Linked DNA regions of Cricetulus griseus. The protein of the gene in region 4 interacts with the protein of the main gene of each other region in a pairwise test. Links are inferred from orthologs where the notes say so. Each region holds a gene or a part of one and is shown on either strand. Other genes may lie near its edges.

Region 1 (3,420 bases), on a different chromosome or scaffold from region 4:
CCGGCAGCATTAGTGCTTCAGTGCTTCAGGCCCAGCGCAGGCAGAGCATCCCCTCGGTGTACCCGGCCTGCAGCAGTCCCAGGTGGGCTTCCCATCTGTAAGCAGCGCACCGGGATGATCATGGCGGTATCTCTGCTCGAAGGAGGCAGACCCTGCCTCTCTGAAGCCCCAAAAGGGGCTTCCATCCTCTACCTTAAATGGGTCACATACACACCTGGAACCATGCCCAAAGGGAGTGACTACTGTTCATAGGCAAGATGCTGCTATAATTAGCCTCTGGACCTAGAGACCTCAGGCAGGGGAGAGGCAGGTGGAGTAACCAAGGCAGGGAGTTGATACCCAGGCTCTGGTGGGATGGGACACAATTGCTTCCCTGACCCCATCCACCTCTTAGTCCACACCTAGTTGTCCAAGCATGGCAGGCTGTGCGGAGAGACCTGCCCAGGTGTCCAGTGGAACATGGCAGGTGGTGTGGTGAGGCCTGCCCAGGTGTCCAGGCATGGCAGGCAGTGTGGTGGAGTCTGGGCAGTGAGGTAGCTTGGTGCCTTGGAAACAGACGGGGAAAACGATAAAGATAACACTTTATTTCATTAGGCTGAGACTGCAGTCTCAGGCCACAGCCTGGCCACCAAAGTGGCCTCAAGCAACCAGCATATGGGACTGGAGGCTGGTGTGGGGCCACCTTGGGACAGTGCAGGGAGGGGCTCTAAAACAGGAGGAAGAGGAGAGGCCCAGTGTTTGGGACAAGAGAGGAGAGTAGTAGACTGTGATCTGGCTTGGTCGTCCCTAGCAGCTGCTCCTGCTAGCTAGGGACTAGAGACGGAGAGACAGAGTGGCTGCTTGAGCAGAGGCTCTGGCTAGTGTTTGTGGCACGATGCAGCTATAGGTGGCAAAGGGGTCTGGGGACAATGTGGGGTATAGGCTAGGCAGAGGTCCAGTGGCTGTAGAGTGAGGATGCCTGCGGGCAGATGGAGGCTAGATGGAGGTCTGGCGGCTGAACAGCTCGATGGTGAGGGCGCTGAGGAAGGCAGGAATGCTATCTTGCTGCAGCAAGTGCAGCTCAATGAGCTCAGGCACTGAACGGGAGAACTCCGTCTCCAACAGCTGCATCTTGGAGCCTGAGGGTCCTGTGGCCTGCAGGAGGAGAAAAGAGAGGGGCATCAGTGCTGATTGTTGGGCAGGTGTCTGCCCTTTGTCCTCACATGCTCCCAGTGGAGGGGGTGAGGGCCCAGGAAGGCTGTACTCCTGCCATCGCAAGAGCAGCCTGGGCTAGACGGGCACTGGCCTGCTTCTGCCCGATGCCCATTGAGGCAAAGCACGAGGTCATCCGCAGAGGGAGCTGAGATTCACAGCAGGCAGGCAGTCTTGCCTCAATAGGATTTGGATTCTTGGGGGCTTCAATTCCAGTCACCAGCTCTTCAGCTGTCACATGCTTGACTTGGGGAGGCAGAGTAAGCCCCAAGCATCTTCCAGACTGTGAAGCCAGGATGCTGGGTATTGGCTGATGGAGGTTTGGTCCTGGAAGGGTAGACTCTGGAGCCCAGACTGGTTCTTTCCCTGTTTTCTTATGTCACTTATAACTGAAGGGAGGGCATAGTGACTCTGTGATGGCTGTGATGGGGAGGTGGGAGTGGAGCTTGCAGGTAGGCTCAGAGCTGCAATGGTACACAGCTTGGCCTCCCGGGGCATGCCCAGGTTACTTGGCTGTTTGGCCAGGCTGCCCTCTTACCATGTAGGCTAGGCTGGGAGAAGCAGACAGAGGCCCTGAGTGAACCTCCTTGTAATCCTGAATTTCCCTGCTATCACTTATCCTGGGGCCTCCCCTGCCAACTGGCCCAGGAATGCTGCAGTGGCCAAAGATGTAGAAGGCCTGCTTGACTAGGGAAGAAAAATTCCTGTTTACAAGGCCAGGCAAGAAGTGGTCACAAACCCACTCTGGATTGCTCCCAAACCTTAGGTCTGATGTAGAACTGGTATCTAGCAAACCTAGAGCCCCTCCTCACTCAGCCACAGAAACAGGACCCGGCTGGGAGGCGGGTATAGGTCAGACTGGATGGTTCTCCAAAGAAGAAGCAGGAGGGTCTGATAAAGTTGGTGGGCTTATGGGGTCATCAGGGCAGATGTCAGTCAGGCCAGAGCCCATTAGGAAAGGTGGATGAGGAGGAGGAGAAATCAGAAGACCTGGGCATCATTGCAGGAAGCTCAGGTATTATGGAAAAGCCTGGCAATTCCTCCGTTATGACCCATTGGTACCCCTCCATTGTGCCCTCAGAACATGTAAATACATGTATCCACAGTAAGATGTACATGGGATGTCCACAGTGATATGATTCATATGTACACACACACACACACACACACACACACACACACACACACACACACACACACACACTCTTTAGCCCTGAAAAGGAACAAGGGGACAAGACATGATGCATGATAGCTCAGGGTCAACTTTGAACATAGTGATGCCATTGACATGAGGCATCCATACAAGACAATATGTAGAGGTAGGAGGCAGATTGGTGTGGACCAGGATGAGAGGGGAAGGGAGTGCCTGCTCCAGTGATAGTGTTTCTCTGTGGATTAGCCTGTGCCAATGAATGCACAATGGATGTGCTAATGAGAACCCAAATGCATGGCCACCGTGAAGCCAAGGCAGGGATGAATTTGTTCTGAAAGGTCCCTTCCTGCCAGTGGCTCTGCAGGTGCCTCTGTTCCTGGGAGCCATACAGATGGTCAGTCTGCTCCCATGGGTCCTGGCAGCCCATGACTACCACTGACTCCCTAGCATGAGCAAGAGAGGACCTGGGGAGCAGCCTGTGCCCCCAACCCCTCCACCTCCATCCCTCGTGGGGCATCAGGGCATGTGAGGTTTTGTCTCAATGACTCCCTGAGCTGTCTTCTGACTTGCTTGTTACCTGGGTTTTCCTCCTGTTTTCTCACGTGGGTCGACCCCCAGCCTGTTCCCTTGGCCCTTATTACATTTGGCCTTGTCATAGTTCAACACAAACCATCTTTAAACAAAAATAAGAGAAACCACTCTGACCTTTTCTCGAGAAAATCCTTTCATTTCTCCCTTCTGCTCTCGACTCGCAATGTTTTTCCCGAAATGTCAGAGGGGCTGACTCTGAGGCGGCTGTTGGGGAAGGAGCAGGCGGAGCTGTGGGGGTAGGAGCAGGGTGCCAGGAGAGCCTCCAGGGTTCTTTCCTGTCCCCCATGGTATGGGTCTCCTCAGCAGGAGATGTCATGCCTCTTCTGCACCCCCCCCCAGGTGTAGGGGTGTGTGTGTGTGTGTGTGTGTGTGTGTGTGTGTGTGTGTGTGTTTAAGTGTGGTATTAGGGGTGGAACCTAGGGCCTCATACGAGTTAGAGGCAAGTACCCTACCACCAAGCCACACTCCCCAGCCCTTTCACTGGG
Region 2 (3,097 bases), on a different chromosome or scaffold from region 4:
TCATGGAGAGCACAGGATGGTAGCATGTGGAAGAGGTGTCAAGAGAATGTAAGTGTAGTACAGACACACAGGTAAGGTTTCCTCACACGTCAGAGGAAGTACCTGGGTTGCTGTGGGTCATTTCCTCACATAGTGAGGTTCAGGGTCACCCCTCACCTTTGAGTTTGCATGAATGCCCTCACTACAGGCAAAGAGTTGCTGGCCCCACCCAGGCTTACCTGTGATCTTCTTTCTGCAGTACATATTACTCTGGATAGAAACACAGCCAACCCATGGCTCATTATCCCAAAGGATCGGAGACAAGCAAGGATTGGAGATAGCCGTCAGAATGTGTCTGAAAATGATGAGAGATTTAATAATTACCCCATGGTGCTAGGTGCCCAAAGATTCACCTCTGGGAAGATGTACTGGGAGGTAGATGTGACCAGGAAGGAGGCCTGGGATCTGGGGGTTTGCAGAGAATCTGTGCGGAGAAAGGGACATTTTTCACTCAGTCCTGAGAATGGCTTCTGGACCATTTGGCTGTGGAAAAAAGACAACTATGAGGCTGGCACCAACCCCCAGACCACCCTCCACCTTCAGGTGCCTCCATGCCAAGTTGGGATCTTTGTAGACTATGAAGCTGGCATTGTCTCCTTCTATAACATCACTGACCATGGCTCCCTCATCTACACCTTCTCGGAGTGTGCCTTTGCTGGACCTCTACGGCCCTTCTTTAATGTTGGTTTCAATGATGATGGAGGCAATGCAGCACCTCTAAAGCTCTGCCCACTAAAGATGTGATGATCAGGAGCTGGTGCATATTGACAGCACCTTCTGGACACTTGTTACCTCCTCCTTGTCATGATCAAGGTCCAATGACTACTGGAGGCCATTTCTGGCTACTGTTACTCACTTCCTGTTGGTGTTCCTCAGCCATGCTCTGCCTTTTTTGACCATCCAGTTGGAACCATCCCACACCTTCATCTCTTTAGAGGAGTCAGGGCCCCAGAATGAAGGCATTAGATGGAGATAACAGAAAGTCAATGTCAACTGACTTTCAACATCAATATTCCTAACATAGGTTCCTTAATGATTCCCTCCAGTGAAACAACTCCTCACAATGGACCAAATTCATCTAGCTCAGTCAAAATCACATTTCTGCCTCCTTTGTATGGCCTATTTTGTTTTCTTTTCTATATTTCTTGGCTATTACCTTTGGCCAGGTAGCTATTCCTGTATCTTCCATGGCTTGCAGAAGGGCTTCCTAGGAAACTATGTCTCAGTCCTTGTTGATAAAGCCCAGAATATGTGTCTTTAACATTGTATATCTTTTGGTTTGGGTTGGTTTTTCTGGTTGTTGTTGTTGTTGTTGTTGTTGCTGGAGGGTTTTTTTTAATTTGTTGTTTTGTTTGTTTGTTTGTTTTCCCTCCCCGGAATATCTTCCAGGGTAGTGAAAGTGGTTCAGGAAACAGCTAAATATAACAATGACAGTATACTTGATGTCCCCAGTGACAGCCAAAGTCTAGGTGCCATGCTAGCCTGGTGAGTCTTTGCAGTTGAATCTCACAAGAAAGGGAAAGTTGTGCTCAGAGGCTGACAGTTGTCAGTTTATAGGTGTGCTCTTCCCTGGTTCCATTGCCTTGAAGAAAGTGCAATTAGTAGCTGAGCTGGAACACAAATATATCCAGAGCTTCAAAAATGCTGTAAGCAGATTTAAGAAGGATGGATAAATGCACAATAAAGAAAATCCAGGATGATTTTTTTTAATTCAGTCAGTAATTCCAGAGGTTTTTCTATACACTATGGATGGAAACAATTATGACCCAGCAGCTGCTAGAAACAAGAAACTGCAGCTGCTCCCTTGTTGTTCCAACTCAAACTGAAGAAGCCTCTCAGCTCTCGCAGTGCAGCCTCACAGAGACCCATTTCAACACAGAACTTTGATGACTAAAGGTTAACCTGGGGTGGTGTGAAAGGATCCTGGTGTGGGCAACTAGGATGAAAAATGTCCAGTTGGTGCAACAGGTCAGAATATTGAAGCTTACTACTGAAGACTTAACAGGAGAGAAATGCCTACCTCAGAAAGCTGTAAGAATCATTGAGCTAGCTGGCTAGGAGGATGGGCAGAGGACTATAGACATTCTCTAGCCTCAAGTGAAGACTTTGTGGTACCCAATGAAGAGGCCTGGGAGTAGAACAAGAAGAGTTTCAACAGCTGGGCCAGAAGAAAACATCTGTATTTCTTTCATTCCAAAACATGTTTAACAGTGCTGTTCCTTTTTATTATCCATTCTTAAGAAAGACACTTATGGGTTTTGTTTGTATTAAAAGAACATTTTGCACCCCCTCCTTTGTCAATAACTTTGAGATCAAACTTTGACCTTGTAGCCAAGCAGTGGCTTGTCCATTCAGGGGAACAAAGAGGCTGACCATGGGGTTCACCGTGTGACTGCTGGTCACATGGTTTTGTCGAAAAGATGTTTTTGTGGAATGCATGCAGGTGGAGACACCAGTAGTGAGATGTAAACACTGAATTGAACTTTGAGCTAGTGTGAAGTTTGGTAAAAAATGTTTTGATAAGTAAATAAATTCCTTGGGAATATTTAAAATACACTTCTGTGTTTCAAGATATAAAGCAAAACCTGACAGATATTTCATTTTCTCATAGATTTTTGTAAGCATACAGTAAGTTTCATTATTACATTTTTGTGCAAACATATCAATGCGCTCTGCTCACATCCACCTCCAAGACCACTCCTCCAGCATCATCCTCTGTCTTTCCCACAAATAGTCCTCCCTTAACTTTCATGGGTTTTCATTGTTGTTGCATCTGTTTTATGTGTAAGAGTGAGAAAGAAAGAGTGAGCTTTCCTCCCTGCTCTTTCCTCCCCTCTACAGCTCTTACGCCCATGGATTCAGGTTGGCCTTCCAACAACACCCTGATCACAATGGAGTCCATTTAAGAGCATTTTAGATGTTTGGGGTTGTCTTGATGTAAGTCACTTTCTCTGACACCCAGAATGAGGCTATGTCCTCTCTTGGACTTCGGATTCTGCCTTGGGATTCTTCCAGTGGAAGAGAGTGTTTAATAGCTGCTCTGGGCCAGGCCATGGAG
Region 3 (3,570 bases), on a different chromosome or scaffold from region 4:
GGAGGCAGAGGCAGGCGGATCTCTGTGAGTTGGAGGCCAGCCTGGTCTACAAAGTGAGTTCCAGGACAGCCAAGATGACACAGAGAAACACTGTCTCAAAAAAACAAAAAACAAACAAAGAACATGATTGATGGCTGTTCTTAAAATGAATACCATGCTTCTTCTTTTGTTTCCTGGGAGACAGTTTCATTCATTTCCCAAACTGGCCTAAAATTTACTATGTATCTGAGGATGGCCTTGAATTTTTGATCCTCCTGACTCTACCTCCAAAGCCTGGAATTACAGGCATGTGCCACCAAAGTTGGCTCAGTTGCTACTACTTTTTGTTGTTTTTGGTTTTTTGAGACCGGGTCTACCATTGTAGCCCAAACTGGCTTGGAACTCACTGTGTAATCCAGGCTGGCCTTGAATTCACAGTAGTTATTTTGTTTCAACCTCCAAATGCTGGGAGTACAGGTATGAGCTACCACTACTACTACTGCTGCCTATTCCAGGGGGTTACCACCAGCTCTTCTACCCAATACTGTGGCCTCCACCTCCCACCTGTGTAGCTAGCAACTTCCTCTCCTCTATTGAAGTTTCCAACCCTGACCTTCCCCTAACCAGCACAGGCGCCACTGGGACTCCCCTGCTACACTGGCCCTTCCTGTGAGAGAGGCAGATGTTCCTGTCTTTGTACAAGAGGCTCCAGGTTCTATCTTTCAACATTGCCAAGTTACCTCAGGCATAAATAGATAGGTAGGTAGGTAGATAGATAGATAGATAGATAGATAGATAGATAGATAGATAGATAGATAGATAAAGTAATGAGTTGACCACAGCTTCAAAAGCCTCTACACCGGCACCCAAACACTCCTCTCATTCTCATCTTCTGAACACAAATGCAACACCTACCTGGTCCCGCTCAATGGAGACTTCCTCCATCTGCTGCAGGATAGCCTCGATCCGGTCCTTGTACATCTTGGCATCCTTACGCAAGGCCAGGCACTGCAGCTCGAACATCTCCCTTTCCTCCACGCACTACAGGAAGCACCACTCAGCCTCACCCACTCTCCACTGCTCACCTGGCCCTGGGCTGGACTCAGGCAACACCTTCAGAGCACTCAAGATCGGGCTAGCCGGGATGATGGGAAGGGCACTGCAGTCCCAGGCCACAGCAGGCTTGCCTGGTCTGAGACCATGGCCTCAGCCACCACCGATCACACGGTAAACTGAAAGGATGACCCTAGCTGTGGACATGACACCACTGTGCACCAGGAATTGGTGAAGGGGAGACAGTGAGTTACATTCCAGACCCTGCCTTCCAGATACCCAGTGGGTACTGCTTGCCTGCCCTGCCCTCTCACCCGGGTCCGGAGGGCCTCAGCTTGGCGGAGGTCCTTGCGTAGGGAGAAGATGGTGTTGGCCTGCTCTTGGTGCTCCTGCAGTGCCTGGCGCCAGTCCTCCTGCAGCACTTGAATGTAGGGGCTGTTCCTGTCTAGCTTGCCCTCCTGGAGGTGGCAAAGGGCAACAAGCCTGGCCATTGCAGTTGTACCATCTGGTGTGCCCCTGGTGTGCACTGCTGGTAGCCCTACCTGTACAGAGACCTCCAGCTCCTGCACCCGGGCCTGCAGCAAGTCCTTTTCCTGCTGCAGCTCCCACATCAGCTCCTGGCTGGGCCGCTGCTCCATAGCATGCCTGAGCTTCAGGGTGTGTTTTCGCTCCACCTTGCAATCATCCTCTGCCTTCATGAGGCTGTGCCTGAGCCGGTCCACCTGTGGGTGGTCCAGTCAGCAGCAGCCTCCTCCAGACACCCCCACCCCCACCCCCCTGCTGGTGGGACAAGCGATCACCTCGAGCTGCAGGTCCCGGTTCCGCATGAGCGCTGAGCCCTTCTCTTCACTCAGATGTGCTAGGCGCATGGCCAGGTCATAGTTCTCATCCTTGCAGCGCTTCAGCTCTCGGCTGCTCAGCTCACACTCTTCCTTGAGCCGCTGCACACGCTCCTGGTGCTTGCGCAGGAGGCTGTCCTTTACCCGAAGCTCCTTGATGAAGTCGTCCTTGGAGCTCAGAAGTGCCGTCAGGTCCTGAACCTTCTTCTGCAGCTTCATGACCTCTGTCATCAGCAGCTGCGTCAGGCCTGACTCCCCTGATGCATCTGGGGACCATGCAGTGTCAGATGGAGCCTGTGGCTGTCACCTGCAGACCCTGTGCTTGTCCTTGTCCAGAAGTATGTGCTTGAAGACCAGCAGTTTGAGGGGCAGAGGGAGCACTACTGGTCTTCCACAGAGAGAAAGCTGGTGGGAAGGCTCCCTGGGGACTGTTCACCAGGCCCAGTCTGCCTTGCTGCCCCTCACATATGAACTGACTGAGATTCTAACTTATCACATGCCAGGACTCCAGCTGGCCCTCTCTCTCTCTCTCTCTCTCTCTCTCTCTTTTTCTCTCTCTTTTCCCTGAGAAAAGGTCTCACTATGTAGTCCAGGGTGGCCTCTAACTCAGAGATCTGCCTGCTTCTCCCTGGGATTAAAGGTGTGTGCCAGCATGCCTGGCCCTCTGTCTACCTTTATAAAGATCTTTATGAGATGAATGATAGGGATGTGGACTGATAGGGATGTGGCTATTCCATCAGTTCACCTCTGTCCCCTCTAGAAACTGTGGGATTCTGTCCTTAGGTGGTAACTGGGCCCCATGGAATTAATACTTTATAGAGGGGTCACCTCTTCTTAGTGGATGTTCTTAGGATGGGAGTAGGAAAGGCAGAGAAGGGAGCCCTGACCCTGAGCACCTGAGAGTAGTCACTGGTACCACTACTCTGATATGTACCACAGGGCTTGTATTAGACTCATTCATTCTGATGTAATCACAGAAGCCAGGACCTGGTGGCACCTGACTGCACTCACAGCACCCACCCACTCTGTGCCTCTCACCAATGATCATGGAGAAGACTCGTGCTGGCTCCTTGCCCGTGACTTTCCTGTATAATTGAGGGTAATAGAGTTCCAGACTCTCAAGGAAGGCTACATAGCCCTTGTGGCCTGTCCGCTGCAGGATGTCCAGTAGCACACCTACAGATGGAAGAGACAGAGTTGAGGCCAAGGTCTGGGTATGTAGAAGCTCTGGGGCCCAGGTGGGACAGTGGATGACTGCTCTGAGTAGAGGTGCCAAGCTGTGGACCCCCAGCCCTCGTTTCTGGGCCCTTCCTAGCAGAGGGATCTGGGGCATTGCATAAGGCACCCTGCAGGTCTCAGTCAAGGCAGAGTAAGGTGCTGCCTTCACTCTTGTGGCTCTCTCACAGCCTGAACAATGGTAGGAACTCCCCTTCCCTCCTCTGGGTAGCAGCAGGTAGGCATGATGAGAGGAGAGAAGGCTCTCATGCATACATCCTAGGTGTAGATGGAGCTGGGTGGGGACAAGGCCAGGGCGGCACAGCATGTAGCAGCCTCTGGCCAGGTGTCTGTGGGGACCATGAGGGACTAGGGACAGCCCTGCTGGTGTGGGAGCAGCCCTCACCCACTTTCCGCTTGCGAATGACCAGGTTGGGGTCACTGAGCACCTGCTCCTCATCATCGGGGTTCAGGACTTTGCACT
Region 4 (3,570 bases):
CCTTATTATTCCCTTTATTAGTAACCTTTTTCATAAAGATTTAGTTTTAATTATGTGTACACAAGTGTGAGTTTGCACCTGAGTGCAGATGCCCATGGAAGTCAGAAGAGGGCATCAGATCCTCTCCAGCTTGAGTCACAGAGGCATTTCTGAGCCACCTGATGTTGGTGCTGGCAACCTGGGTACTGGAAACTCAAGTCCTCTGGAGAGGTAGGAAGTGCTCTTAACTGGAGCCATCCCTCTCCAGCCCATTTCCAGACATTAAGAAAACAAAACCACTCCAGGCGTTGGTGGCGCACGCCTTTAATCCCAGCACTCAAGAGGCAGAGGCAGGTGGATCTCTTTGAGTTCGAGGCCAGCCTGGTCTCCAGAGCAAGTGCCAGGATAGGCTCCAAAGCTACACAGGTGTCTCAAACCCCCGAAAGAAAAAAAGAAAGAAAGAAAGAAAGAAAGAAAGAAAGAAAGAAAGGAAAGAAAGAAAGACAAAAACAAACAAAGAGCCCTAATCACCCACCCTGTCCTGTGCCCTGTGTCACATGGATGGGATGACACTGTAATGGGACATCATCCCTTTCACCTTAGTATTTTTTTCTTTTCTTTCTTGATTTTCTGGGGACAAGAGCACACTTGCTGAGAGTAAGCTTATCATACTCACCTTAAATGCTCTAGGAGTGACATAGCTGAACTTTCCAGACCACATCTGCTTGATCAATTCAGCATATGACTTAGCTATTTCACCTCTCATTCCTAAGGGATTGTCAAAATTCAGCTCTTCTTGGTACTTGTCATTGAGGAAATATTCAGTAAGTGGAGGTGTGTTGCTCAAACACTGCAAGGAACAAAATACATCTTAAAGTAAAAGTAATAACATAAATACATAATGTTAAAATGAAGAGTGAATCAAATCAATTTACTCTATCATATACAGAAACAAAAATGGTCTCTTGTACTAATTAACTGTCACTCAAATGGGGCACTTACTCATTTCACAAACTTTCAATCAGTTACTTATAATAAAAATACTAATGTGTGTTGCTGCAAAATCTACATTTAATTCTGACCACAGCAAACTACCTGTTAATTGGGAGAGAAGCTCGGAGTTCTCTTTCCTTCTTTTACTTGATTGGTAAGAATTATGGATTGTCTAATCATCCCAGGCACCTGAAAATGAGCCTGAGCAGGTAAAAACTGAGATAGCATGCAAGAAAAAAAAAAAAATCACTTAAAAGAGGTACAGATGGTTCATGATATCCATGGCCTCAATTCAATTACAGATAGGAGAATATTTGGGAAAAAAAGTTACATTCATACCTAACAAAAGTTTTTTGATCATTATTCTTTAGCTGGTAAAATGTAAAGGCACTATAGGCAAGCTAGAGATGATTTAAAATGTATAGGAGATACCTAGGTAATGTGGTAATTGTAAGTCATTTAATATAAAACACTTGTGTATCAGCCGGGCATTGGTGGTGCATGCCTTTAATTCCAGCACTCGGGAGGCAGAGGCAAGCGGGTCTCTCTGAGTTCGAGACCAGCCTGGTCTACAAGAGCTAGTTCCAGGACTGCCTCCAAAGCCACAGAGAAACCCTGTCTCAAAAAACCAAAAACACTTGTGTATCTGTGGATACCATGACAATGACTGTATTTACTGCTTCTGCAGCCAATGCCTTATCATAAAGGAGTTTTTAAACCTGTCATCTGGCTGGCAGTATTTATAAATGATAGTATTGACCAGTAAAGCCTAGGAAGACAACTTTGGGCAAACCCTGTTTTTTTTTTTGTTTGTTTGTTTGTTTTTTTGGGGGGGAGTTCGAGGCAGGCTTTCTCTGTGGCTTTGGAGGCTGTCCTGGAACTAGCTCTTGTAGACCAGGCTGGTCTCAAAGTCGAAGAGATCTACCTGCCTCTGCCTCCCGAGTGCTGGAATTAAAGGCGTGTGCCACCACCACCCAGTTTACAGTTCTTAATACAATAACAATCCAATTTTCTTTTATGAGAAAATTAAAAACTGCAACAAAGTTCTCCAACTTGTTTTTTATTTGAATCAATTCCTGATAAAACATTTAAGAGATGGTAGAAACACATTTTCCCACAATATTTTATCTTATGATGGAATAATTTTAAATTGATGATGTATATAATTTGACCTCAGTAGGAGCCATGTTACTTTACTAATGAATGTTTCAAATATGTAAAGTGTTACATACAGTATAATTATCTAAGTCATATAAATAGCCATATATACCTTTTTATGCAAGAATGTATTTTTCTTGGAGTCAAGTGACAAAGTGCTAGAAAAGAAATCAGTTGCGTGTGTGAAACATTAAAAAAAATCATTCTGTTCAGAGTTTCAATAGTCATGGAAATCAAAGTTTTGGGGAGCTGGTATGCAACTAAGTTGCATAAAGTTAAAAAGGCTTTGTAGTGATGTTCAACATGCTGGGATTATGAAGATAGTTTAAATTATGACCATATTATGTAGTCTGGTCAAAATACCAATGTAAGCATATTCTTTTACTTAGTTCTTTCAAGTAAATTATGATACTCTTTTTTTTTTTTTTGGTGTCAACTATACTCACTTATGTCTACTAAGTCATCATAGTTATCTATAAAATCTGAATGTAGTCTAAATTGGTAGTCAAGCCCCAACCCTCAAGAGGACCTTGGAAACTTTGCAGGCCTTGAGAGTCCTTTACATTTGCTTCCAGTATTAAAAAAAAAAAAAAAAAAAAAAAAAAACAACTTTGTATTAAGAGAAAATACATAGGGAGTTTATAATGTACAAGGTAATTAAGGGAAAGGATACATTCTTTTGATCCCAAATCCTTTTATGTCTCAACAATCATATATCCCACTTGAGTTTCATTTTCTTCTTTTGTTTGACATTTCACTTTTAATTGCAAATGAAGCACTGGAGGGAGGGCCAGGCAATAGAGACCTCATTAGAAGAACACAGCTGCAGTCACCTAGCAGCACCCTCTCATTTGCCACAAGTAGCAAAGGGGCAGTAACAGCAATATATAACTAGCTCTTAGTTTCCAAATCTTCATATTTGATTTGGTTACCATTATTAATAATTAATTAATAAAGTCTATTATTACACTTATACAAATAACCAAATTTATGGCTTTACCAAATAGTTCAAAAAATAAGCGGTGCTAACATGAATAATTTCTGAACATTATTTTTAATAAATTATTCATGAGTATTCTTAACTTGCAAGACCTCCCAAATACAACTAAAAAAAATTTTAGCTCTCTACCAGTGATCTTTTAAGCGTGTTTAATATTACTTCCTTACACTCATCTTAGAACCCAGTTCTCAGATATTCCTCTGACAATAAATGAATGCCTTTACTTCTTTGTGCACTGACAGACAGTCCCTTAACTTCTATGCTTCCTCTCAATGCCACACAACTTCACCTATTTGAAAACTATCTTCTCGCCATATTAGTTCCATCCTCTAAATGAGATTCGGGTATCCCATCTGGGATGTGCTCTCAGATCCTCAATGTTTCCTACTGTGCTTGTATTCTGCTTAGTGTTCACTTTCATTATAGCACTGGTTTTATGA

Evidence for each region.
Region 1: the proteins of Usp15 (region 4) and Mad1l1 interact in binary tests that used the Homo sapiens proteins (3 or more experiments, as listed by UniProt). The two-hybrid records come from large-scale screens. The link is inferred for Cricetulus griseus from reciprocal best matches to the Homo sapiens genes USP15 and MAD1L1.
Region 2: the proteins of Usp15 (region 4) and Trim21 interact in binary tests that used the Homo sapiens proteins (3 or more experiments, as listed by UniProt). The link is inferred for Cricetulus griseus from reciprocal best matches to the Homo sapiens genes USP15 and TRIM21.
Region 3: the proteins of Usp15 (region 4) and Card9 interact in binary tests that used the Homo sapiens proteins (3 or more experiments, as listed by UniProt). The two-hybrid records come from large-scale screens. The link is inferred for Cricetulus griseus from reciprocal best matches to the Homo sapiens genes USP15 and CARD9.

What each region holds. Positions count from the first base shown.
Region 1 is NC_048597.1:76,648,330-76,651,749, forward strand, and holds the end of Mad1l1 (mitotic spindle assembly checkpoint protein MAD1), read right to left. Parts: intron 1,135-3,420; coding exon 976-1,134; 3' UTR 562-975; downstream 1-561. UniProt on the Homo sapiens protein: Component of the spindle-assembly checkpoint that prevents the onset of anaphase until all chromosomes are properly aligned at the metaphase plate.
Region 2 is NC_048596.1:96,827,341-96,830,437, forward strand, and holds the end of Trim21 (E3 ubiquitin-protein ligase TRIM21), read left to right. Parts: intron 1-238; coding exon 239-783; 3' UTR 784-2,595; downstream 2,596-3,097. UniProt on the Homo sapiens protein: E3 ubiquitin-protein ligase whose activity is dependent on E2 enzymes, UBE2D1, UBE2D2, UBE2E1 and UBE2E2.
Region 3 is NC_048599.1:137,744,287-137,747,856, forward strand, and holds part of Card9 (caspase recruitment domain-containing protein 9), read right to left. Parts: coding exon 3,493-3,570; intron 3,048-3,492; coding exon 2,910-3,047; intron 2,714-2,909; exon of another isoform or gene 2,138-2,713; coding exon 1,833-2,137; intron 1,755-1,832; coding exon 1,575-1,754; coding exon of another isoform or gene 1,491-1,574; coding exon 1,347-1,490; intron 1,021-1,346; coding exon 895-1,020; intron 1-894. UniProt on the Homo sapiens protein: Adapter protein that plays a key role in innate immune response against fungi by forming signaling complexes downstream of C-type lectin receptors.
Region 4 is NW_023276806.1:134,020,043-134,023,612, reverse strand, and holds part of Usp15 (ubiquitin carboxyl-terminal hydrolase 15), read right to left. Parts: intron 830-3,570; coding exon 656-829; intron 1-655. UniProt on the Homo sapiens protein: Hydrolase that removes conjugated ubiquitin from target proteins and regulates various pathways such as the TGF-beta receptor signaling, NF-kappa-B and RNF41/NRDP1-PRKN pathways.